Linked DNA regions of Drosophila melanogaster. The protein of the gene in region 1 purifies or fractionates together with the protein of each later gene. This does not show direct contact. Each region holds a gene or a part of one and is shown in the gene's direction. Other genes may lie near its edges.

Evidence for each region.
Region 2: the proteins of CG8939 (region 1) and RpL7-like purify together in Drosophila melanogaster (affinity purification with mass spectrometry, with the first as the bait; one large-scale study listed by BioGRID). This does not show direct contact.
Region 3: the proteins of CG8939 (region 1) and CG32344 purify together in Drosophila melanogaster (affinity purification with mass spectrometry, with the first as the bait; one large-scale study listed by BioGRID). This does not show direct contact.
Region 4: the proteins of CG8939 (region 1) and Ifrd1 purify together in Drosophila melanogaster (affinity purification with mass spectrometry, with the first as the bait; one large-scale study listed by BioGRID). This does not show direct contact.

What each region holds. Positions count from the first base shown.
Region 1 is NC_004354.4:15,995,236-16,000,284, forward strand, and holds CG8939 (uncharacterized protein), read left to right. Parts: upstream 1-1,780; 5' UTR 1,781-1,888; coding exon 1,889-3,749; intron 3,750-3,810; coding exon 3,811-4,403; 3' UTR 4,404-4,463; downstream 4,464-5,049.
Region 2 is NT_033779.5:12,054,424-12,058,790, forward strand, and holds RpL7-like (ribosomal protein L7-like), read left to right. Parts: upstream 1-1,924; 5' UTR 1,925-1,998; coding exon 1,999-2,009; intron 2,010-2,075; coding exon 2,076-2,724; intron 2,725-2,791; coding exon 2,792-2,905; 3' UTR 2,906-3,469; coding exon of another isoform or gene 3,470-3,790; 3' UTR 3,791-3,828; downstream 3,829-4,367. Other genes in the region: JhI-21 (juvenile hormone Inducible-21), read right to left, coding at 1-75, 662-873; CG34164 (uncharacterized protein), read left to right, coding at 3,470-3,790; Rab3-GAP (Rab3 GTPase activating protein), read right to left, coding at 4,167-4,343.
Region 3 is NT_037436.4:320,655-326,548, reverse strand, and holds CG32344 (uncharacterized protein), read left to right. Parts: upstream 1-1,828; 5' UTR 1,829-1,893; coding exon 1,894-1,896; intron 1,897-1,950; coding exon 1,951-2,500; intron 2,501-2,554; coding exon 2,555-3,309; intron 3,310-3,380; coding exon 3,381-3,656; intron 3,657-3,720; coding exon 3,721-4,620; 3' UTR 4,621-4,634; intron 4,635-5,185; 3' UTR 5,186-5,316; downstream 5,317-5,894. Other genes in the region: Atac3 (Ada2a-containing complex component 3), read left to right, coding at 10-127, 191-516, 575-669, 725-794, 855-1,313.
Region 4 is NT_033779.5:2,868,419-2,876,432, reverse strand, and holds Ifrd1 (Interferon-related developmental regulator 1), read left to right. Parts: upstream 1-1,943; 5' UTR 1,944-2,760; coding exon 2,761-2,797; intron 2,798-4,744; coding exon 4,745-5,429; intron 5,430-5,500; coding exon 5,501-5,744; intron 5,745-5,783; exon of another isoform or gene 5,784-5,832; coding exon of another isoform or gene 5,833-6,687; exon of another isoform or gene 6,688-6,781; intron 6,782-6,882; coding exon 6,883-7,110; intron 7,111-7,178; coding exon 7,179-7,262; 3' UTR 7,263-7,806; downstream 7,807-8,014. Other genes in the region: CG8814 (uncharacterized protein), read right to left, coding at 71-1,045; CG8813 (uncharacterized protein), read right to left, coding at 5,833-6,687.

The sequences.
Region 1 (5,049 bases):
TAATAGTTAGTTTGTGCTTGCTACATTTTGGTTGGCAGAAAAAACTTTGCCTGCTTAAATCAAAAAAGAAAGTAAATAAGCTGATATGGTTTTTTAATTGACACAGTCTCCTGCTTTTTAACAATATATGCATGCAGGATGTATTAAGAAGTCGACAATTGAATAATGGCCTAATTAAGAATATTTTTTGCCCGAACATAAAACGAAAAGTTTGCTCGCTTTTTTTTTTTAATTCACAATCAATTGAAATGGAAAGCATGTTGTTTGTGGCATGTCAACTGTAAAATACATAAATACGTAATAATTCGCTTAAGCGATTATAATTTGATCAACGTTCTTTAAAAAGGGTTAATAACCAATGCAGTGACTTTTTCTGCATAGCCCCATTTAGCTTATATATTAACCATCGAAAACATATGCAAAGAAACTCGATTAAACTGGTAGTATACGAATATTTTCACAACGAGTGGAGGAGGCACAAGTTTCAGAGCTATTATTTTGACCGCAGCTGTGTATAAATATATTTTAATACATTTACCTACATTTGCGGGTATATACAAATATTGCATGTAAATCATACTATGACGATTCTTTTTTGGCTACAGTACGTATACGACAGCAAAATAGTGTTTACTGAATTTAAAACTGTACGAAATTTTTAAAAACTTGAACAATACGAAAATACGAAACTAAACCATGTATACGATGTATATCAAATAAATAAATAATACATGTTGTTGTTATCCGCACACACGTCAACTAATTACAAAAATATTTTGAATGTAAAAACGGAAAAGAAAAGTCTTGGATAAACAAAATGTCACATTTCTATCGAAGGACGAATTGTATTATTTAACAGCTTATAACATTTAATAGATTTATTAACGTGTATTTTAAAAGTCTCAAAACAATTGTTTGTTTCTTACATCCTAAAAAGTATTAAACATTAAATCTTAATGGATTTCTTGCTATAAAAACGAACTTCCCAACTTAATTGCATTATAAAATCAAGAACAAATTCGTCTTTCGCTTAGTAAGAAGTGTACACTACTCTTTGCCCCCAATTAAAACGGATATGAAAACAGATTATTTGAAAGTATACAAAACGATTATAATTTTAAATGATAAATAACATATGTCTTTGACAGACTTTCGCTCACATTACGGTCAAATGAAACCATTCAATGTATTTCAGTAAGTAAGGTACTGCATTAAACATTTTGGATAACAATAGAAAAATATATAAATACACAACTTTACACAAATAACTTAATAAATCAAAACGAAGTATTAATTAATGGTTTTTTGGGAGTATTAAAGAAAAGGGCGTTATCCTTTGCAGATAATCTATACACGTAATAGAAAGAGATGGAGCATCTGTAGATACACTTGCTCTTCTTTAATTAAAACTATCTGGCTCACAGATAGAAATCATTCTTTTATGTGGGGTTGGTCAATAAAAACAGAAGAATTTTAATTTTTTAGATTTTTGGCAGCTGTAAAACAGACAAAAAATTTTAATTTTAGGCGTATTTTATTTTTATTATGGTTCATTACGGCTTAATGTACTTCACCCCACATCTTACAGTTATTCCCAAAAGTGTGTAGTAATTTATATAAATCACTTTGATCGACCAATTTTAAATTTATAAATAATAAAGTAGAAATTTTAAAAAAATTCACCCGCTGCCCCAATGCATTCCACAATTTAAGAACACGTTCCACTTATCTAGCACTCAATCGCCGCTACCTTGACGCGCATGCTGGCACTGCCCGGAATACTTTGAATTGTCAATACGGCCACACTGTTGGCAACACGTGCACGAATTCGACATTTGATTTGAATTCGTTTTGATTTTTATCGTAATTGTACGAAAAGCCAGCAGCAATGGGCAAGAAGACGAAAGTTGGAAAGACGCGCAAGGATAAGTTCTACCAGTTGGCCAAGGAGACGGGCCTGCGATCGCGTGCCGCCTTCAAATTGATCCAGCTGAATCGCAAATTCGGTTTCCTCCAACAATCGCAAGTATGTTTGGATTTGTGCGCAGCTCCCGGTGGCTGGATGCAGGTGGCCAAGCAGAATATGCCGGTGTCCAGCATTGTGATCGGCGTGGATCTCTTTCCCATCCGTCCCATTGCCGGCTGCATTGGTCTCGTCGAGGACATCACCACCGAGAAGTGCCGCCAATCGCTGACCAAGGAGCTGCAATCGTGGAAGGCCGATGTTGTGCTCCACGACGGTGCTCCCAATGTGGGTAGGAACTGGCTGTACGATGCCTATCAGCAGATCTGTCTCACCCTCAACGCGCTCAAGTTGAGCACACAGTTTCTGCGCAACGGCGGCTGGTTTGTGACGAAGGTTTTCCGCTCCAAGGATTACAATGCCCTGCTCTGGGTGCTCAAGCAGCTGTTCAAGAAGGTGCACGCCACCAAGCCGAGTGCGTCGCGTAAGGAATCCGCCGAGATATTCGTCGTCTGTCAGGGCTACCTGGCGCCCGATCACATTGATCCCCGTCTCCTGGACTCGAAGTATGTGTTCGAGGAGCTGGATCTCGATGCCAAAAAGAAGAGCAGCCTGCTGCATCCCGAAAAGCAAAAGCGCATCAAGGCCGAGGGCTATACGGCCCAGGATATTGCGCTGCGCAACGATCTGGCTGCCACAGAGTTCCTGAAGGCTGAAAATGCACTGGCTGCGCTGCAGGGCATCGGTTCGATTCGCATCGATGATCAGCGCATTGCCAATCACAAGAAGACCACGCCAGAGATTCTCGAGTGCTGCAAGGATCTGAAGGTATTGGGCCGCAAGGATATCAAGGGTCTCGTGCAATGGTGGAAGGATGTTAGGGAGTTGTTCGTTGAAAAGGAAACCCCACTGGTCGTCGGCAATGCCGCAGATGAGAAGCCCAAGCCATTGACGCAAGCGGAAATCGAGGACATGGAAGATGCCGAGCTGCAAACGCAAATTGAGACAATTGTCGAAGAGGAGAAGAAGGACTTGAAGCGTAAGCGTAAGAAGACGCTCAAGACCAAGGCGAAATTGCACGAGAAGATGAACCTTAATATGGTGATCAAGGGAGACGATGGTCCGGTCGAGGAAATGGAGCACGAAATCTTTGACCTCAAGAATATTCGCACCTCTGCCGAGCTTGACGAGCTGCTAGACGTGCAACCCGATTTTGCTGTCGATGAATCGCAGCCCGAGGAAACAAAGCTGCCAAAATACAAGTATTTCGACAAGGATGAGGGCAACATCAACGATGATCTAAACTATGACGATGACAATGATGAGGAGCAAAGCGAGGCCTCCGACGACGAGGATCAAATCAATGATAAGCAGGGCCTGGGCCTCAGTGACGACGACAATGATGAGGGCAATGCAAAGGGCAAAAACAAGAGAAAGAAACGCTCCGAGAATCCGCTGATTAAATCCAATGATTTCCGTGACAAAAACACCAAGCGAGAGCAACGCGTACAGCTGTGGTACGAGAAGGATGTACTACAGAATATCCAGTCGGATGACGACGAGGAAACCTACGATCTGAACAATCTGGCCAAGGAATTCAAGGCCAAGGGTGTCGCCGTTCTGGGTGAGAGCACCCTAACGCCGGACGCCAACGAGGAGGTTGTCCAGGGTAAGAAGGCCAAACGTCGTGCACGCCATGAGACCGCAACTAAAGACAGCAGCTCAGAGTCATCCGAATCCGAGGATGACGCTAACGAGGATAGCGACGGCGAACAGCCAGCTGCAGGTGAGTTCAAAATAAGCATTTAATATTCCTAAACCTAATATTCTCGTTTGCTTTTTATCAGGTACAAATGCCAAGAAGGTTCGCCTGTCCGAAAACGAAATGGCTTTGGGCGCACTGCTGACACGCAGCAAGAAGACACGCCGTGACTTGATCGACGCAGCCTGGAATCGCTACGCTTTCAACGATGAGAACGTTCCCGTTTGGTTCAAGCTCGATGAGGACGAGCATATGACCAAGCCAACACCGGTGCCGAAGGAGCTGACCGCCGAGTACCAGCGCAAGTTGCAGGAGGTGAACGTGCGTCCGATCAAGAAGGTCATGGAGGCCAAGGCGCGCAAGCATCGTCGTGCCACGAAACGCTTGGCCAAGGCTAAGAAGATGGCCGAAAAGATTATGGAGAACAGCGATGCCACCAACCACGAGAAGTCCAAGCAACTGAAGAAGGTGTACAAGAAGGCTCAGGAGAAGAAGAAGGAGGTCACATATGTGGTGGCCAAGAAGCAGACAGCAGCTCGACGCGCACGTCGTCCAGCTGGCGTCAAGGGTCGCTATAAGGTCGTCGATCCGCGCGAGAAGAAGGACAAGCGGTCAATGGATGCAAAGAAGAGGCGCGAAAAGGGTTCGAAGGGTCGCAAGGGGAAGGGGCGTAAATAAATGTAAATCTAAAAAATAAATATGTAATATTTTATAGATACTAAATATATATATAAAACGAATCAGGTAGTTTTTTTTTTCTTTGAATATGATTTTATACACTTAAAATAAGAAATCAGATGCGAAACTGCAAATATAAACGCAAAACTGTTGTTTCCTTTGAAGAATATATGTATTTATATTAAATTCAGCTGACTATTGACTTTTCCATGCCCATTGCAACGCCTTTAAGTGCGAAGAAATTCGAAAAAAAAACATTTTTCAGCTGCAAGAAACCGAAAGGGAGCCATTCAAAAACACAGTGTATGTTTTCAGAGGAAGTCTTTTGCACTCTTTTTGAATTCTTTAATTTATTTCGATTTTATGCGTTATTTCAAAAAAAAATGTATTGACTTTTGGATAAATGCCGTGCATTTGGACGCCAACTGCCATTTGACGTTGGTAATGCACTAATAAATTTTAAACAATATCGAAAGCAAAACCATTTTGAATATCTGAGTTTGCGGCTATACGGAGTAATCCGTGTAAGCTAGTGTATTATAGGTTATTTTTAATTTGTAATAATAATAATAAATAAATGCATACCGGTCTGTTAAATATTATTTCATTTCCATATAAATAATTTTATAAATGAGATGCTGTTTAC
Region 2 (4,367 bases), on another chromosome or scaffold:
TCCGCGTAGCACAGAGCTCCGATCGTCGATAAAATGCCGCAAGTCAGCCAAATCAAAAGGGAGCTTCCCACGGATCTGAAATGATTTAAAGTAGTCATCGAATCAATAAACAATTTGAATGAAAATAAACACTCGTAAACAAATATGGTCAGGGAATACATACATATATATATATATAAAGCAATAAAAATTATAAATATAGATCTAATATTAACTCGGTGGCAAATATTTGTAAGCAATAATAGTAAAATGGTATTTAAACAAAACATCTAAAAAAAACAAGTGCTGGGGATTAGCTTTCATTTCGATAAAATACTTTTATGAATTTAACTTCCTGGAATTTTTCGCAGCCGCCTTAAGCTTATGACGCACACCTTTTTTTGTGGCTCTTATCAATAATTTAAATGTTTGGCGCGCCTTATTGACGTTATTCTTGTGACTGGAGACAATTCGCTTAAAAAAAAAAAACACTTTAAAAAGCTGACGCAATATGTGGGCAGAATTTCAAGGTTGAATCTTTGAGGGAAAATCGAGAACTAATAAATGTATCTTAATTGGTGCTAAAGGAATGCCTGCGACAATCTATCCATTAATTAACAGCTAAATTGACCTTTTTTGTGCATAAATTGAATTAAGGAGGATGCTCTGTATCACCACTCACTCGGTGTAAATAAAGACTCCCGTGGGAGCAATGAAGATGCCCGATCCAATGATGGTGCCCACTATGATGGCCACTCCATTGATGAGTGTTAGCTTCCGCTTGAGGACAATCTTCTCCTCGCCATCAGCGGGATTTGGATTACCCGGCGCGGCGCATCCATTTGTGGGCTCGACCAGGCTGGTGGTCACTCCATTGGCATATCGGTCCGTCATGATGTCTGCACTGTGGGATTCTTCTGCTTACCCTCTTCTAATGGCGAATAGCGCACATTGTCACTGGAATGAAGGGTAAAAGTTGAAATGTAGAAAAAAAAGCCTTCATTACTATCAGCAAATGGGGCGCGAGCACGTGTTGCGCAAATTGTAAACAAATGCTATAGTGCTGATTTTAGTTACTAATTGCTAGTGAAGAAGACCCGATTTTTGCCTCGCTGGCAGCTAACTAATCTCCCATTGTCAGGCATAAACTTGAATGTTTCCCCGACGCCACTATCTTCGATACACGAAATTTAGCTTTAAAGTAGGGTGATTTTTGGGGTTGGCATGTTGTGGTGTGTAGCTGCCTAATGGGGAGCTCCACTTTTATGGTGACGCCTTTGCCGCGTGCCAATTTCCACGATTTCGTCATCACCTTACGACGCGTGGCAATGAATTTTGCAGTTGCAGAGTTGCAGTTTTTCTGGCAATTGCTCGATTGCTTTTATTCGCTTCTTTTTTTTTTTGTTGGTTATTCGCAAGGTTTGGAATGCAGTTTGGCTGATTAATTTCGGTTTATCTTGTTCCCAGCGACTTTGCACGTAAAACACGATTTATTTTACCTCGAGAGCGCGGACACAACAAAACGGCTTTGACTGCGAACAGCGACTGTGCGTTGGCATCGAGACCGGCATTTTCATACTAAAATTAACGCAATTTTCACCCTAAAACGCAGTGAGAGAGTGAGAGCAGCAAACGGAGAGAGAAACAGAGAGAGAGAGAGAATGAGTGTAAAGAAAAAAAATGAGAAATGAGTGCTCAAAACCGGAAATTAATGTCAAATGGTTACTTACAAGAAGAAAACATTAAAGCTGTCCTCTTGAATGCTAGCTAATGCTAAATTTATCTTATGGCATAACTATTAAGCATAGTTTTCAGTTGAATAATACAATTTCTTAAATGTTCCCGCCAAAAATTTCAAATTTGTTAGCTATTCACCACGAAACGCGCTCAGCTGTTGCACACATCACTTATCGATAGCAAAGCACTTATCGCTCCGCGCCCACCTCTATCCTTTTTAGTTATTGTTTTGGTGCTTGCACGTGTTTTAATTTACTTCGATTAAAAAGCCAAATACCAGCAATGTCAGACAAGTGAGTGATTGAAAAACTATAAAAATGTGTTGACCCTAAACATTATCTTATACTTTTGATCCCTAGATATGCGGTGCCCAACAAATTGCCCGGCAAAACAGTGTCGGTGCTAAAGCATCGCAAGAGGAGAATTCTGCAGGATGAATCTGTTGTTACGCAGAAAAGAAATGACCGCATCAAAAAGAGAACCGCCACCAAGAATCACCACAAATTCCGCCGTGCCGAATCCTTCGTAATGGGCTACCTGAAAGCAGAGCGCACGTCCAAGCGGATCAAGCAAACCATTCTGCGCACCAATGTCACCGAACAAAGTGCCAAAGCTGCCGACGATTCCAATCCCAAACTGCTCTTCGTGATGCGCCATGCGGGCAAGAAGATCTTCGACAAGACCACCGCGGATATATTCCGAACCCTGCGCATGGGCTCGCGCCACAACGCCGTCTTCATGGAGAACACCAAGGAGAACCAGTTGCTGCTGCGCGTTATCGAACCCTTTGTAGTCTACGGCAATCCCTCGCTGAGCTCCATTCGCGAGCTGGTCTTCAAGAAGGGCTTCGCCCGCATCGACGGCAAGAAGACGGCCATCCAGTCGAACACCATGGTGGAGCAACAGCTGGGCGACAAGGGTGTCATCTGTCTGGAGGATATAATCCACGAAATTTGCACAGTGGGTCCAAACTTCGCCGCTGTAAATGAGTTTCTGTGCGCCTTCACGGTTGGTTAACAACTTCTCTTTTGCAATTCTTAAAACTATACTATTACCGCCATTTGGTTTTTTCCAGTTGTCCAGTCCCAGCAATGGTTGGCAAAAGAAGGTATCCGTCTCGTACAAACGCGGTGGCGAGTACGGCGATCGTGGCACTGCCATCAACGAACTGATTGCCCGCTGCCTGTAGAGACCCTAGCCTAGTAAACCCTTAAGTGATTGTTCAACCTCTATAACCCATTCTGTAGCTAAGCCCAATACACATCTATATACAAACGTATTCTATTTGAGCGTACTTATTTAACGAAGAAAATAGATGGTCAGGTCAGCACTATCGTGAGTTTACTGTATGCCTATAAAAGCAATCCTGCGACTATTAAGGAACCACATGAAACTGTCTCTAACGACATTCCTCATTATTCTACATGTTTATCAACATGATAAACTTCACCCACGAAACAAGTTCTTTGCTTCTTGGCCTTGCGTGTCCCAGCCGAGTTCCCAAATTGAACAAACCAGAGAATCAACTTTCTGCCTCGAATAATAAATAAGTCATAACCGAGGTGGCTCCTCGCAAACGAAAGGTATGCCAAACTGAACTACTTGTTGCCATGAAGGAGGAACTGTTGTTTTTCGATTAGTCGGAGTCAGTGCCACTAACCTAGTGCAACTCGGGTCGTCGTATCTTTTGTTCGGATAAAACTCCAGGGACTACACATTGGAATTCAAAATCCTTAGATTCAATTAATTCTCAATGAATTCAAGTTTCAACAGCGAGCAGTTGGACACCGACCGCGATGGACTGCAAAAAATTCTGGCCCGATCTCTCAAGGAACCCATTCTTGGCAAGCACTTTGCCCTGCCTGGCCGCATAGAGCAGAGTCCACCCATCGAACTGGACACCAGCCAGAGCTACATTGCCGTCTACACTCATCTCAAAGTGCACGCCACCATGATGCCGGAGAGATTGCCCACGCCGGAGGCAATCGGACGAATACAGGCGGAGAACTTGGAGGCAGCGCCCAAGGCACGAAGTTCAAAGACCCGCTTGGATCCCTGCTCAAATATAAATTAAATTACGTTGGGCATCAATAAAGAAAGTATTGTTATTTTATCTTTTGGTATCCCTTAAATTTAGTAAAAGAATATTAAAATTTTTTTTTTTATTTTATTAAATATACATGTTCATAATCCTTGTAGGCATAAGCTTCACATCAAATTCGTGTTGAATACATCCTCCTATCGGTGCAGATCTTAGTATCCTTTTTCTTGAAAGTAATTAATATGATGCTTTTCGTAGGTTGTTTAAATCGCTACTAGGTTGATAAGTATAAGACAATTAATGGGACCGCATGTGGTGCTTTAACAATCAATATTGGGTTCATTCTTGAATCCATAAAAATCATGAGAGAAATGTAAAATAACCAAGTGTTTATGTGTCATCCTCACTCCTAATTCTGCAGGATACGCACGGCGTTGTACATCTGGCCAATGATGGGCAGCTGCTTGGACTCGCGCCGGCAAAGGTATTTGTAGGCATGCGACAACAGCCTGTCCAGGGCAGCCACATCGATCTCGTCGGGCTTGGTGGCCGCGATCTGAATGTTGTTCTCCGTCATCGGTTCCTTCTGCGTAAGCGGCGTGAGAAATGG
Region 3 (5,894 bases), on another chromosome or scaffold:
GATTTGCAGAAGGAAACCAATGAAGCTGTCAGCTCAATAATGGACGAACCGGAAGTAATTAAAACCGTGGACGACAAAGAAATGTCGGTTGAAGAACGAATGGATGTCCTAGAAAACATGCGAGGCCGTAAGTTACTAGATTCGGAGATATTAAACGAATATTTAACGAAAAACCTATTTTCCCTGCCAGATGCAAACGTCCTGCGGAACACTGCGCTTTACATACTAAAGACGCACGAAATCGCAGACATGGTGCAGGACAACGATGACGAGGACTCGAAAGAAATGCTGAACACTGCGTTGCAGAATGGACGCCAACTTGTCCTCTCTGAAGGAGGACGCATGCTGCTGCACGAAACAAAATCGGGCATCAGCGGCAAGCAATCCACGAACGGAAACGCCCGGCCTTCGGTCGCAGCGCTCCGCACAAATGTTAATAATTCTCATCCCAAGATTCGGATGAATGTCCTGAAGCAGAAGGATCTTCCGTCACCGGCGGGAGTTGCCAAGAACAAGGTATGCATTTCATTGTTTTGTTTCGCTAATTCGTATAATAATTAATATTTGAGGGCAGAATATACGCATTATCTCGTTGACTGATTTTAAGAAACTCTACGGATCGGACAGCACGGCAAAGTCCCTTCAGAAAATACCCGCCTCATTGGCAAGGTACGTTAATTTCACATATTTGGGAGATATATATAAGATCTTGCCTTATCGACAGCTCTGGAATGGTGCGGCATCTTCCCGATGGCACAAAGCTAGTCAACATGCGCCAGTTGCAGGCTCGACAGGTGAATATTAAATAGTTTCTGAGCTCACCTCCTTACTTTACTTGAACCCCGCTTAATTAGTTAAAGCTCCCCTCCCTGCAAAGGCCGCAGGATCTCACTGCGCTAGAAGAATCACACAGCCAGAACGAAGCCGCGGTCCCATCCCCACTGCCTTCAGGCCATCCCGCGTCGGGCAGTTCGCTTAGGGGACAAGTGGGCACCGTCCAGACGATACAGCTGCGACCTTCACTCTCGGCAGGATCCGGCCAAGGCGCAGTAAACAACGGGGCGGCACCTGGCAAGACAATCGTCAATGCGACGAAGCAGTCGCCGAAATCTCCGAACGTGATGCCGCTGCTAACTTCTTCTGAGATCTGTCGCCAGCTTCACGAGTTGCGGCGTCAAAACGAAGACCTGCGGCGGCGGGCCGACTCCTTTCAGCGGGAAAAGGAGGAAATGCTGAGGCGCATTGACCGCCTGGAGCAGATGGTGCTGGTTCAAGAGTCGGAGGCGGACTTGGATTTTGGAGAGGACGTTTAGTTAATGCAAAGATAAGTTTAGCGTAAGTTCGATAAGGTATATTTAGGATATTCAGCCGATAAGTGCATTTGTAAAGCACCCAGTTTAATGACGATTTCATACCATTTCTTATCGAAACCTTAATAACTTGAATGCTATGAGAGCTTTAAACCAATTCGGATGTCGATAGAAATATATCGTTTAAAAAATTCATTTTCAATCCATAATCTGCACAAGATGTAGCATTTATTTAATACATTTACATAGCTATTAAATCGCACCAGTCTTTTATATCTGTTATTTTCCCGTTTGGTCGAGGTCTTATGAGGTTTTTTCCCTTTGGGCATATGTAAGCTATCCTCTAATTTTAATCGGCAGTGTATATATGGTCGATTTAAAAGATGGTCTACTCAAAATAGTAAATATTAAAATAATAAAACGCGAGTTAATCAAATGAAAATCTAAGCGCCAATTACAATGCGGTATATTGTAGCGTTAGTCAATTTTTAAGAAATCAGTGTTGGATAATTTATGGAGTTATCGATAGTGTGGAATAGTCATCGATTTTGCACGTGTTGTTTTTATTCAAAACAAAAAAAATATGGTAAGAGGATTGTCTCTTGTTGCTTAGCTTTCAATACATACTTTGCATTGGCAGCGTAAGAAGCAGGCGGATGAAATACCAGGCTTTCCATCACTGGACAACGATGCCGGCACCAGCGACCGGGGCGCCGACATTCTCAAGTCCAAGTCCAAGAAGAACAAGAGTGGTGGATTCCAGTCGATGGGCCTGGGCTTCGAGCTGATAAAGGGCATCACCAAGCGGGGTTACAAGGTTCCCACCCCCATACAGCGGAAAACGATTCCGCTGATCCTGGAGGGACGCGATGTGGTGGCAATGGCCAAGACGGGCTCTGGCAAGACGGCCTGCTTTCTGATTCCGCTCTTTGAAAAGCTACAGAGGCGCGAGCCCACAAAGGGGGCCCGTGCCCTGATCCTGTCTCCGACGCGCGAACTGGCTGTGCAGACGTATAAGTTCATAAAGGAGCTGGGCCGCTTTATGGAACTGAAGAGCATTCTGGTGCTAGGTGGCGACTCCATGGACTCACAGTTCTCGGCCATACATACCTGTCCGGACGTAATTGTTGCAACGCCAGGTCGTTTTCTTCATTTGTGCGTAGAAATGGACTTGAAGCTAAATTCCATAGGTGAGTTGATAGTTGCGGACCATAAAAGCAGGAATTAATTTATTTGCTCTCTAGAGTACGTGGTGTTTGATGAAGCCGATCGACTCTTCGAGATGGGCTTCGGCGAGCAACTGAACGAAACGTTGCACAGATTGCCATCGTCCCGGCAGACGGTCATGTTTTCAGCCACGCTGCCAAAACTGCTAGTAGAGTTCGCCCGTGCCGGACTGAACGACCCAGTGCTCATTCGTTTAGACGTCGAATCCAAGCTCCCGGATGCGCTGGCTCTAAAGTTTCTGTACTGTCGACCAGACGACCGCTACACAGCACTTGTGGTTCTTCTTAAGTACGTTATTCCGGTGCAGTCGCAAACCGTGGTGTTCGCCGGTACTCAGCACCATGTCGAACTCATTTCGTACATACTTACTGAGGCTGGAATCTCCAACGCCTCAGTCTACTCCAGCCTGGATCCAGCTGCACGCAAAATAAACACCGCCAAATTTGTGAACAAAAAGGTGTCCGTGCTAATAGTCACGGACGTGGCCGCGCGTGGTATTGACATTCCCAGTCTAGACTTTGTGGTGAACCTGCACTTCCCGGGTAAACCGAAACTGTTTGTCCACCGGGTAGGTCGTTGCGCTCGCGCTGGTCGCACAGGAACCGCATACTCTATTGTATCCACAGACGACACAGCACATCTACTGGATCTGCACTTGTTCTTGAACAGACCCTTTAATATACACGACAGCTCGGCATTGGGAACCATTCCGCAAGATTTGCTCGAGGAAGAGCACCTCACAGTGACCGATATAAAGAAAAGTCACCATATTGTAAGTTTCAAATGGAGTGTACTGCATTTTATGGTTTCTAATGATACGTAATTGTACATGTATTTCTGCAGGCCGGAGTATTGCGCACCAGCGAAAACGCCTACAAAAAATACTTGAGTTCCCGACCAGTAGCCTCCACGGATGCCAACGCGCGTGTAAAGAAAATTAAATTCTTTGCTCTCAAGCCATTGGAGGATTTCTTCACAGCTGCCCCTGTGCTCGCCCAGGCGGCTGAAGCTAGTGGACAATCAACAGAGTCGCAGGCAAAGGTGAGCGCCGCAGAGCGCAAGTTGCAGGAGGAAAAGCACGATATACTGGTGAAGATGCGTAGTTTCCGTCCTGGTGGTGTGAGTTTCTCAACAGTTTTACGATAAATGCTCGCTCACGTATTAGTAATTGTGCCCTTTTCAGACCGTTTTTGAACTCAACACCACTCAAAAGTCCACGCAGTTTATCGTTATGAAGGAAAAACGAATGCAGCATGCGGAAGTAATCAACAAGTTTAGGCAGCAGCGCGCAGAAGAGGACATAGACGAGGAAAAGAAAACGATCGAGGCGCTCAACCCAAGCTCAGGCAGAATGCCCACCGCCGACGAGGAAGCTATTAGTAGTACTTTCAATAAAGTCGTTGCGCCCAAGAGGCTCCAGAACATGGACGCCCTTTACAAGGACAAGCCAAAGAAGAAAAAGCGGAAGATAAACAGCAAGGACGAGGATCACTATGTGCCGTACCAGTCGGCAGACAAGCACACAGAGGATGGTCTGGCCATTAACAACTTTGAGCGGCAGGCGCAGAACGCCGAGTTTTCGGTGTCGGACCGCGACTTATCCCAGGAAGTGAAGCACAAGCCCGGCCTTAAGAAGTGGGACCGAATTAAGAAAAAAATGGTCTCTGTACAAGATCCGCGAGCCAACAAAATTCGGACCGAGTCCGGTGCGTGGATTCCTGCCTCCTTTAAAACAGGTCGTTATGCTGAGTGGAAGGAGAAGTCTAAGATCGAGGACCAGCTGCAGCGCGAAAATGCAGGTAGTGATGACGAAAACGCCAAGCCGTTGAGCCATGCCCAGCGCTACCCAGTCAGTCGTCATGCGCGGCACAACTTAAAGCTAGAACTTAAGAAGCGACTGACCGGAAACGACAAGGAGATGCGCCGCCCCGAGCAAATTGTCAAGTCTCGCATGCGACTGGAGTTCATTAAAAAGCGCAACGAAGAGAACGCAGAGAGGAAAAGCGAAAACCGCAAGCGCAGCATGCGGAAAACGCAGCGCCCCAAAGCTCAATCAACTGGGGGCTCGAAAAGAAGGAAGTAGGAGTTTTTACGCAGGTTAGTACAGTTACACCATATCTTTCATTTAACTCCTCCCTACCAAAACGGACAATGTTCTAGTAGCACACCATTCAATTGTAAAGTCAAAAGTGAGACATGCTTTTTAGTTTTGCGCCCTTGATTTCGGAACTAAGTCCTCCTTTCACACGTGACCCAAATAGAACACGGCGAAGTATGTGCGTGCCGAGAGATGTGCCACAGGGTGTGTTTACCCTGCGCAGGTCAAGTGAGGGTAGGCTCCGGTTCGGATTCGGGCGCGCCTGTCTGATGACACGCACATCCTGTGTGCCTTCTTGCCTGCGCCCACGAACAGAAAAAAGAAACAGCTGCCACCACTTATTCATCTCGTTCTGTGTTTATAGATCTGCTTTCAACAGCTCCGTGCCTGCATCAATTACAATATCGCACTGCTGCCGCTTCCCGCAGATAGTCACGTAATTGACTGGTTCCTTGCTACTTTTAATATAAATAAATGAACATAATCGAAATTGCGTAGGACAGTATTGCCGCGACTGATTGTATCATTTTTTTTTTTTATCAATCCACAGAAGCATTGGGACCGACGTTCAGCGCATGGGTAATGTTCTGACAAATCGCCTTCCTCCAATGAAACACTCCCCATATTTGTTTACTGGATGTAGAGTGTTTTTAAAATAATACACAATAAACGATGAACTACACTTTTTAGACTTGGGTGTGGCGACAGCCACCAAAAATGCAGCAGGAATGACATGAAATCAACCGAACCAACGAATCCTCCCATTTCGTTGGGTTCGTGTGTTCCAAAAATACTTTCAGGGCGCATATGGTTTTATTTCGATTCCCCCTGGACCAGTTCGCACTCTCTTAGTCGCTGTCGATTAACCCAGTGGTAGAAGCCACATGCCAGATGCCACATGAGCATGGGGCAGGATCACCCATACGCTTAACAACTTCTGCTCACTAATTCTGCAGTTGAGGGGTGCTCAGAATAGGCCCAAATTTTATTTCCGAACATGTGTCTCCAGATTTTTCTCAGTACTTGTAAAGGGTCATTTCCAAGAGGTGCTTATGGAATATGTTTCTCTAAAATCCGCATGGAAACCCCGGAAAGGATTCGACGAATGCCGTTTTCTCGGATCATCATAGTTTAGTGTCACAGAATTTGTACATTAATAGAAATATCCGATGTCCACAGAGACAAAACCATATGGGTGTAACAAAAATAGTTGTCTTGCAGTGCACTTATTGATTGAGATAAATAGATAAATCCCAACA
Region 4 (8,014 bases), on another chromosome or scaffold:
TGTCTAGTTGCGTTGTACTTACAATTTAACTACCACATGTTCCGCCCTCCGCAAGTATAGCTTTCCTGCGTCAGTGCCTGCGCTGCGGATTGGACTGAAGCATCCGCGCGAACCGCCTCACCAGGAAAGGCCACAGGATGAGGACGGCAAACCAGAGCGGGGAGATGTTCCTGAAGGGCCACCAGGCGGGCAGTGATCGTGGCTGCGCCACCGTTCCTTTCGCTGCCTTTTGGCCGCTGCGAAGTTCGTTGAGCGACTGCTCCAGGCTGCGAACGCGCTGCTGCACTGCGCCCACATCGCTGTTCATCCGTGTGATAGCAGCCTGGATTTGACGCAGCAGGTCCGTGTTCTGGCCAATCGCCTGGGTCAGCTCGTGGCTGAGATCGTAGGGATCGTCGTACTCATCGTCCGAGGGATCCACGATGGCCACGCTGCTGTTGCTCGTAAAGTTGTGCGTGTCATGTTGTGTGTAGCTTGCTGTTGGCTTAGGTCCATAGCCATTGGTCAGTGGCGGCGAACTATGGCCATTCTCCTTAATCGTTTCGGATGTGGCCAGCGGTGCGGTGCTAGTCGCCTGAGGTTCCGGCTCCGGTTCGCCATTACAACTGGAGCCGTGCTGGGGACTGTTGGTGCGCGAGTGGAACGGCGAGTTGGGATGCGACTCGGCCAGCTCCTTCATGCCGGGCGAGACCAGCTCCAGTTCGTCCAGGCTGATGTTTCCCAGACTATCGAGGCTGCCCACAAAGTTCTGCACATTCTCCGTGAACGACATGGTCTCAATGATCTCCTGCAGGCTCTCCACATAGCGCTGCATCGCCTCCTCCTTGGTCAAGTGACGGTTATCGTTCCATGCCTGCCACTTGGCCTTGCCTACGATGTCCCAAAAGCCGGGCTTCTTGTCCACATCTGGTCTACCCTCGGTGGCCTGTTTGAACAGCCCGTAGAACTTGAGCATCATGCTGGTGCTGGGCTGGTAGGGGCCATTTTTGGGCAGACCCTTTATCACATTGACTGCCGCCTGGAAACGCTCCTCAATCGCCGCCATACCTGCAAGATTATCCCGCGATTAGCCAGGGCACTCGATCGATAAGATACACAGGTACGAAGGCTGCCATATAGAGGCGGTGCCAAGTTCACCTTGTCCAGGTGAACGTCGCTTACAAATTACCTAATTATTGTGTGCAATCCGCGGTGTTGCAAACCCCACTTTCGGCTCCCCCTTTTGTTGTTGTCGTTCGCTATTGATTCCGATTCCGAATCCGAGTCCAAATCCGCTGCTGGGCATTCATGAATTTTTGGGTGCGACGTTCGTGGATGCGCTGCTGTGGTGCCAAAGTTCGAGTTCTGAAGTCCAATCTTCTGAGCTTCGAATCGAATCGAGTCGGCTGGAGCTTTTTCTTAGTTTGGCCCCCGTTCTTATCGACCTCGCTGAGGAATTGTTGTGTGCTGCGCCAACCGCTGTCGTTCCAATCGAGTTGCAATCAAATAAAACTAAACAAAAACCCGAAAACTCTCTCTGCAAATCGCTGAGCGCGTACGTGTGAGTGTGTAGGTGTGCATGTGTGCGGGTGGCGCAGGGCTGCAACGAAAGTATCGATACAGGTGCAGAGTGGAGATGATATTTTTGTGAGCGCGAATATCGCGATTTAAACAAAAATAAGAAGTTTTTATTGTCCATAAATAAAATTATAAATTAGTATTTTGCGGAAAAGCATAGGACCAATCAATGAATTTATAAAGTAAGATTATTTAGTTTTATTTATTTCCAGCCACATTTAATTATAGGTAAATATAGGTATAGTAGGGTATAATAGGTATAGTATAGGTATAGTATAATTATAGGTATAGGCTTTATCGAAAGTCAACTATCGCATGAGCGCAGACTTCCATCTTCCATTGAATATACCGCTATTCATGGTATTTTCCAACGTTCGCGCATACGGTCACTCACTTTTTCATTTCGTAAAAATCAGCAATCGAATTAAGTGCTTAATTATTTGCATTATTTTTAGAGCTTTCCGAAAGCTGCCAACGTAAAGTCCGCGAAGCGCCTTCACTGGCCGAATCGGAAATAGCAAAATCGAAGCACCAGAGATCGAAAGACAGCGCATTCGATTCGATTTCACAATAACTGCGAACCGAGGGCGGAGTGGGAGTGTCTGCCAGCGCGGAGAAAAGTGAACGCATTGCAATTAAACATGAAATTTGCTGCAACGTCGACGGGAGTACGACATTTTTGTATTATCAACGCCAAGCAGCAGAGCCATCAGAATCAGCAGACTATATATAAGATACGGCCGCAAAAATCGCGATCGGAGTTGAACAATTGCAAACGGCAAAGACAGTCGTGTAGAATTGCCAAAAATTGGAAGCACCAAAGTTTTTGCATAGGTGCGTCCTGATCGGCAACGTTTCGGGTTAGAAAGACAAAGATTAAAAAATTGACAGCTCGGCTCAAGAACGCAATTTAATTTCCTAACCTAGAGCATCAAAATCAATAAATCGGAACCAACACGTGCGTTTCAGTAGTTGCCGCCAAAGCAACGAAAGTGTAGACATTTTCGCCGTTGTGTAGACTTCGACGCCTGTTCTCCACCTTTTGAGGACCCAGAACAGGAAAAGGACACTCGGCTACAAAGCATCTGTTTTTTTTGTGTTTCGTACCTTGTGTTTGAAACAGTAGGCTAAACAATAGAAACCAAAACGTCGTCGTCGAGTTCAAACAGCAAAATACCTGAACGACGCAAAAACAACAGCAACATGCCGCGACGCAACAAGAAATCAGCAGCAGGCAGAGGTGAGTCACAAAGAAAAGAGAGTGTGTGGGTGTGCACAGAAAAAAAATGCGAGGTTGAACGTATCCAAATGCGTATAATATATCTATTGGATACGAGTGTGAACTTCCAGCTGAAACAATTGACTTTATAGGCTTAAAATTAGTTATTTTGCCTTTAGTAGCAACATTTTGGGTTTAATTACCATCTTAACCTCATGGTTTTCTTGTTTTTTACAAAATAAACGAATTAAATCGCACATCTGAACAATAGACTTAATAGTATATCCCCACAAAAGCCGGCGAGGGTAGGTGAATTTTCACAGCTGCTTTTCGTTTGACCTTTGCATTAGTCATGCACTGACTAATGAGTACCGTGCACTGTTTGGTGTATTTCGTTGGCTTCCAAACGAAGGAAGCTTCGCTGCCTGCAACCTGTTTGTCAATACCCTCGAAATGAAATAATTATTTTCGTTTTGTTGCTGTGCTGGCACCAAAAGCTTCACGCGCTCAGCTGGCTGCGCAACAACAAGTAATCAGCGGTTCACTGAAAATATATATACATACGTATACATATGTAAATTTATACAGCTTTGCCCACCAATAATAACAATATAACCATAGTAATTTTGACAAAAATTCCAAATTATGTAATATAAAGTTAAATAGCTGCATTTCACCAAAGGAGGAGGTTTTAAGTTTCTGCGTTGTTTCTATGTTGAGCACAACTGTATATAAATATAAATATACTTGTTCGTGGAAAAACATACGTACACATATGTATATGTATATGTGTACGCTCAATGCCAGCTTATCAGAATCACGCCTATAACCGAATACCTCAGTGCAGGGTATCAGTGGGTATGTTTTCGTAGGGCGTATCAAATTATGTATTCTATTTAAGTGCTCTATTATGCTAAGTTATTATTCAAGCTGTACCTATTTATATAGTTAAATATCCGAATTGGTATTTATAGGCTCATCATACAATCATTTACAAATATTAAATTTAAAAATAAAGAAGCGGAAGTTGTGGCTCTTCGGGGAACTTTCCTCGCATCTAAGTATATACCTCATGGGTGACCTAAAAACTTACGCAACTTTGTGTTATGCATTAGTCGCTCTCAAAACACAGATGGTTTACTCGCCCGAATCTAATCCAAACAACTTTCAAGCAAAACCAGCTGTTTTCCACTGCTTTTGATTCGTTTTTCTAGCCCGCAGTTACCGCATGCTTTTGTGTTTGTAGTTTGCTCGCAGCTTTTGTGAAAGGCAAAACAAAAAAAAAAAAAACACAAAAAACGAGGCGGAAACTACCTTGCCCCAAATAGAAAGCTGAAAACAGGCACTGGGAAATCGCCACAATGAAAGTTGTGCTCTACGACGGGTTTTCTTCGACGCAGTTGGCCAGCAAACAAAGTGAAACATCGAAAGATGGATAGAAAACTTGTTGCACAACATTTGCGGCTCCCGAGCTGTTTTTCTTGAAGGTCATTGCTGTGTGGCAAAGCGTGTAATTGAATTTCTAATTTCAGTACATATACATTTCCCCATCTAAATGAGCACACAAGCAATTGAATGAAAAGCTGCTCGAAGACGGCAAAACTTGATGCCTCTTTTCAGCTGGTTTGACAGTTACTGAAGGGAAATGTGGGCACTTGCATGAGGGTGGTCCCAATATTTTACTCCATTTAACAAGGAATACAAATGGGGTTCTGAAAATAGAATAATCATTACATTGGTATTCACTGAGTTTCCATTTGCAAAATGCTTAGCTTACATTCCAATGGGTTCGTTGAATGCCTAAAATGTGCAATTAAGCATATTGTTCAAAACGATAGCTGTTGAAAAAGGCTCACAGGTCGCATTAGCATAATAAATATTTATGAATTATGCTTGAAAAACTCGCTGAGTATAGCAAAATACTTCAAAAAAAAACCTTATTAATTACCCAAATGATTTCTTTTTCAGGCCGCACCAATGACTCCAATTCTGAGGACGAGTCCTTTGACAATGTGAGCGTTTACTCTCATATGTCCGAAGTCGCATCCTCGGAGGCCACCGACGAGCTGGCCAATGAGCGTTTCGAGGAGAAGTTCGAGAAGGCCCTGGAACAGGCCACCGAGAAGTCGGCCCAGACACGTGTGCAGGCTCTGCAAGCGATTTGCGAACTGCTCATGCACCGCTACATGCCGGACTTCGTGGAGGACCGCAAGATGACCCTGATGGATTTCGTGGAGAAGAGCATCCGTCGAGGCAAGGGCCAGGAGCAGGTGTGGGGCGCACGACTCGCGCCCCTGCTGGTGCTCCAAATGGGCGGGGATGAAGGCATATCCAAGGCGATGAATCAATTCCTGTTGAACACCGTTCAGGACAAGTCCGTGGGCTTCGATGCCCGTGCCAAGTGCTGCACAGCTGTGGGATTGTTGAGCTTCCTGGGCTGCGAGGATGTTGGGGAGTTGGTACACCTGATGCAGAGCTTCGAGGCCATCTTCGCAGGCAGTTATTTGCGTGGCGATGACAAGACACCGGTATCCGTCACCGCCGAAGCTGGGACTTTCCATGCGGAGGCCTTGAACGCCTGGGGGCTTCTACTAACACTTATACCTTCGGGGGATTTTGTTTCGTTGATGACCACTGGCCAAAACATGTTTCCGTAAGTTTGAAGAGCAAGTTCCATTTAACTTTCAAACCCATTGCTATAATTGTTTAAACTAAACTTTGCAGATCTATTAAGAAGTTCTTGGGTCTCTTGCAATCTACACATTTGGACGTCCGCATGGCCGCTGGCGAGACCATTGCTTTAATTCTGGAGTCGGGACGTGCTCACGAAGAGGATTTCCTAGAAGATGACATCGCTGAGTTATCGGAGGCCGTCAAGCAGCTGGCCACGGATTCGCATAAGTACCGCGCCAAGCGCGATCGCAAGGCCCAGCGTGCCACCTTCCGTGATGTGCTGCGATACCTGGAGGTGAGTTGAAGATTTGCACGAGTGCTACGCTTAAACAATAGGGATTACATTTATTTATTTGACTCGAGATGCACTAGTCTTTGGACGATTACTTCATGTCAGTGCAAGTGAACTTGAGCTCGTGCTTGCAGTACTTGGCCAAGCACTTGGAGTGATCGTGCAACTTGTTGCGCATGATGACGCAGCCGTTCCGGCTTATCGAGTCCATGTACTCGCTGAAGGTCGGCACCTTCCGGTATGTGGTCGGGGCGGAGTTCCAGTGCGAACTGCTGCCGGATTCGATGGTCTGCGAGGAGTCCGAGAAGCTGGTCTTGAATGGCTTGTAGTTCTTTTGGCACTCGTCGCTAGACATCTCGTAGCCAGCGGACGCCTCCCGCTCCAGTTCGTTCATCACGTTCGAGCGGAACTCGTTGCAGGGTCCACGTTCGCTCATCAGCTTGTTGGCGTTCTTGGACTCGTCCTCCGTCTTTAGGCTCTCATAAATACCCTCCGGGTACTCGTTCATGTTACAGTAATCGATCTGATAGGTGGTGTTCATACGGTTGGTCTCCAGCCTGCGGCTCAGCTCCTCCTTGGGCATGACCTTCAGGCGTTCATACAGATCCGGGTAGACTGTACGTAAGATCTTGAGAAAGCGGTTGGGTTGCAGCTTAAAGCAATCTGTTTCCGCGGAGAAGGCCATCTTGTCCACCTGGTCCTGAGTCAGCTGGGTGGGTATGATACGCGGATCCACCAGCTTTCCCATTGGCGCTATGCCCGTCCACTCGACGCCGCCACAGTCCTTAGACGCGTTCGGCGGCATCATGATCTTGGACTCGTCGACGCATTCGCACTCCTTGACCTGCGGACCACTGTGAGCCTCGGCGCCCCTGGGCCGCGTTAGAAACTCGTACCGTTTGGCACTGGGCGGGACATAGTCGTGCTGATAGGTTGATAGCATCATCTTGATAACGAAATCTACAAAACTAATTGGCCAAAACAATTTTTTTTAGTAGTTTTTTTTTTTTTAACGAGAAATTTGGTCTGTTTGATCTGATAGAGAAACTAATAGTGATACATTTCAAAATCGTACGAAATGAGATTAGAATATTTGCTCGTAGCCTAGCCTGATTTTAAAGTTTTTTTTATCTCGTTGCAGGAGGACATTTCCCCAGAGATTAGCATTCGTTTCGGTACCGAGTCGCTGACACTAGATTCCTGGTCCATCCATCATCAGTATTCGGCCATGTGCACTGTCATGGGTCCCGGGATGACCTCGCAGCTGCAGGAGAACGAGTTCATCCGTGACATCTTCCAGCTGGGACCACGACCCACGAACACAGGCATCAATGGAAACGCCAAGGTCAAGCCGACCAAGCTGGAGCGGGTAAGTTGATTGAAATGTGTTAACATTCGCTTCAAATTTTAATATATTTATATTTGTTGCTTTTGCAGCACCTTGTGAATGCTGCTGCATTCAAGGCACGCTCCATAACACGTGGAAAGAATCGTGACAAGCGATCGGCCGTCGTCACTTAAACCTGTGCTTCACCCACCAACCGTTCCCATCCACAGACACCCAAACCAACCATCTCAAACCCCGTTAGCCAACTCTGGACTTACTAGTTGAATTGTTTCTAATTTTAGCTTGAACCAGGCAAAGCGTCGCCAAAGCTGAAGAACTAAGTCTAAATTTAGGATAATTCAGTGTAATCTACAAAATTTCTCTAGTTTATTAACCACATGTTGGAGCCATTGTTTGAATATTATGAAATATTTATTGCGTGCACGCACAGTGGTTGTTTATCAGTAAGTGCATGGCTGGCTCCAGCTTGGATCTTATTCTTTGTGAATTTAAATTAACACTGCGATTGTTACGACTGGCATTTACGCTTTGCGATTTGGGTTAACCTCTTTTGTTGTTGATCTTTTTAAATTACAAGCGTAGGAAAACATAGTCTGCTTTAATGCTGCGAAAAAGTTATTCATAACTTGACATGGCTTTTAATACGCATAATAAGCGGCTCTATGAATACATATATTTTGTAGTAAATAAGTGTAAAATAAAGTTTAGGCTTAAACGAAAACTACTTGAAATGCATTCTTACTGGTGGGGATACAACAATGGACTCCTTTTTAGAAAACACTTAAAAAACAGTTTGCGTTTTATAAATTGTATTTTATTTGTTAGTTTTATCACAAAAATTGTATGGTAACTTAAATTGTATGTTGGATTCTTTCCTTTTGTGGATTTTGTTTTGTTTTTCTTTGCTTTGACAAATTTTGTGTAG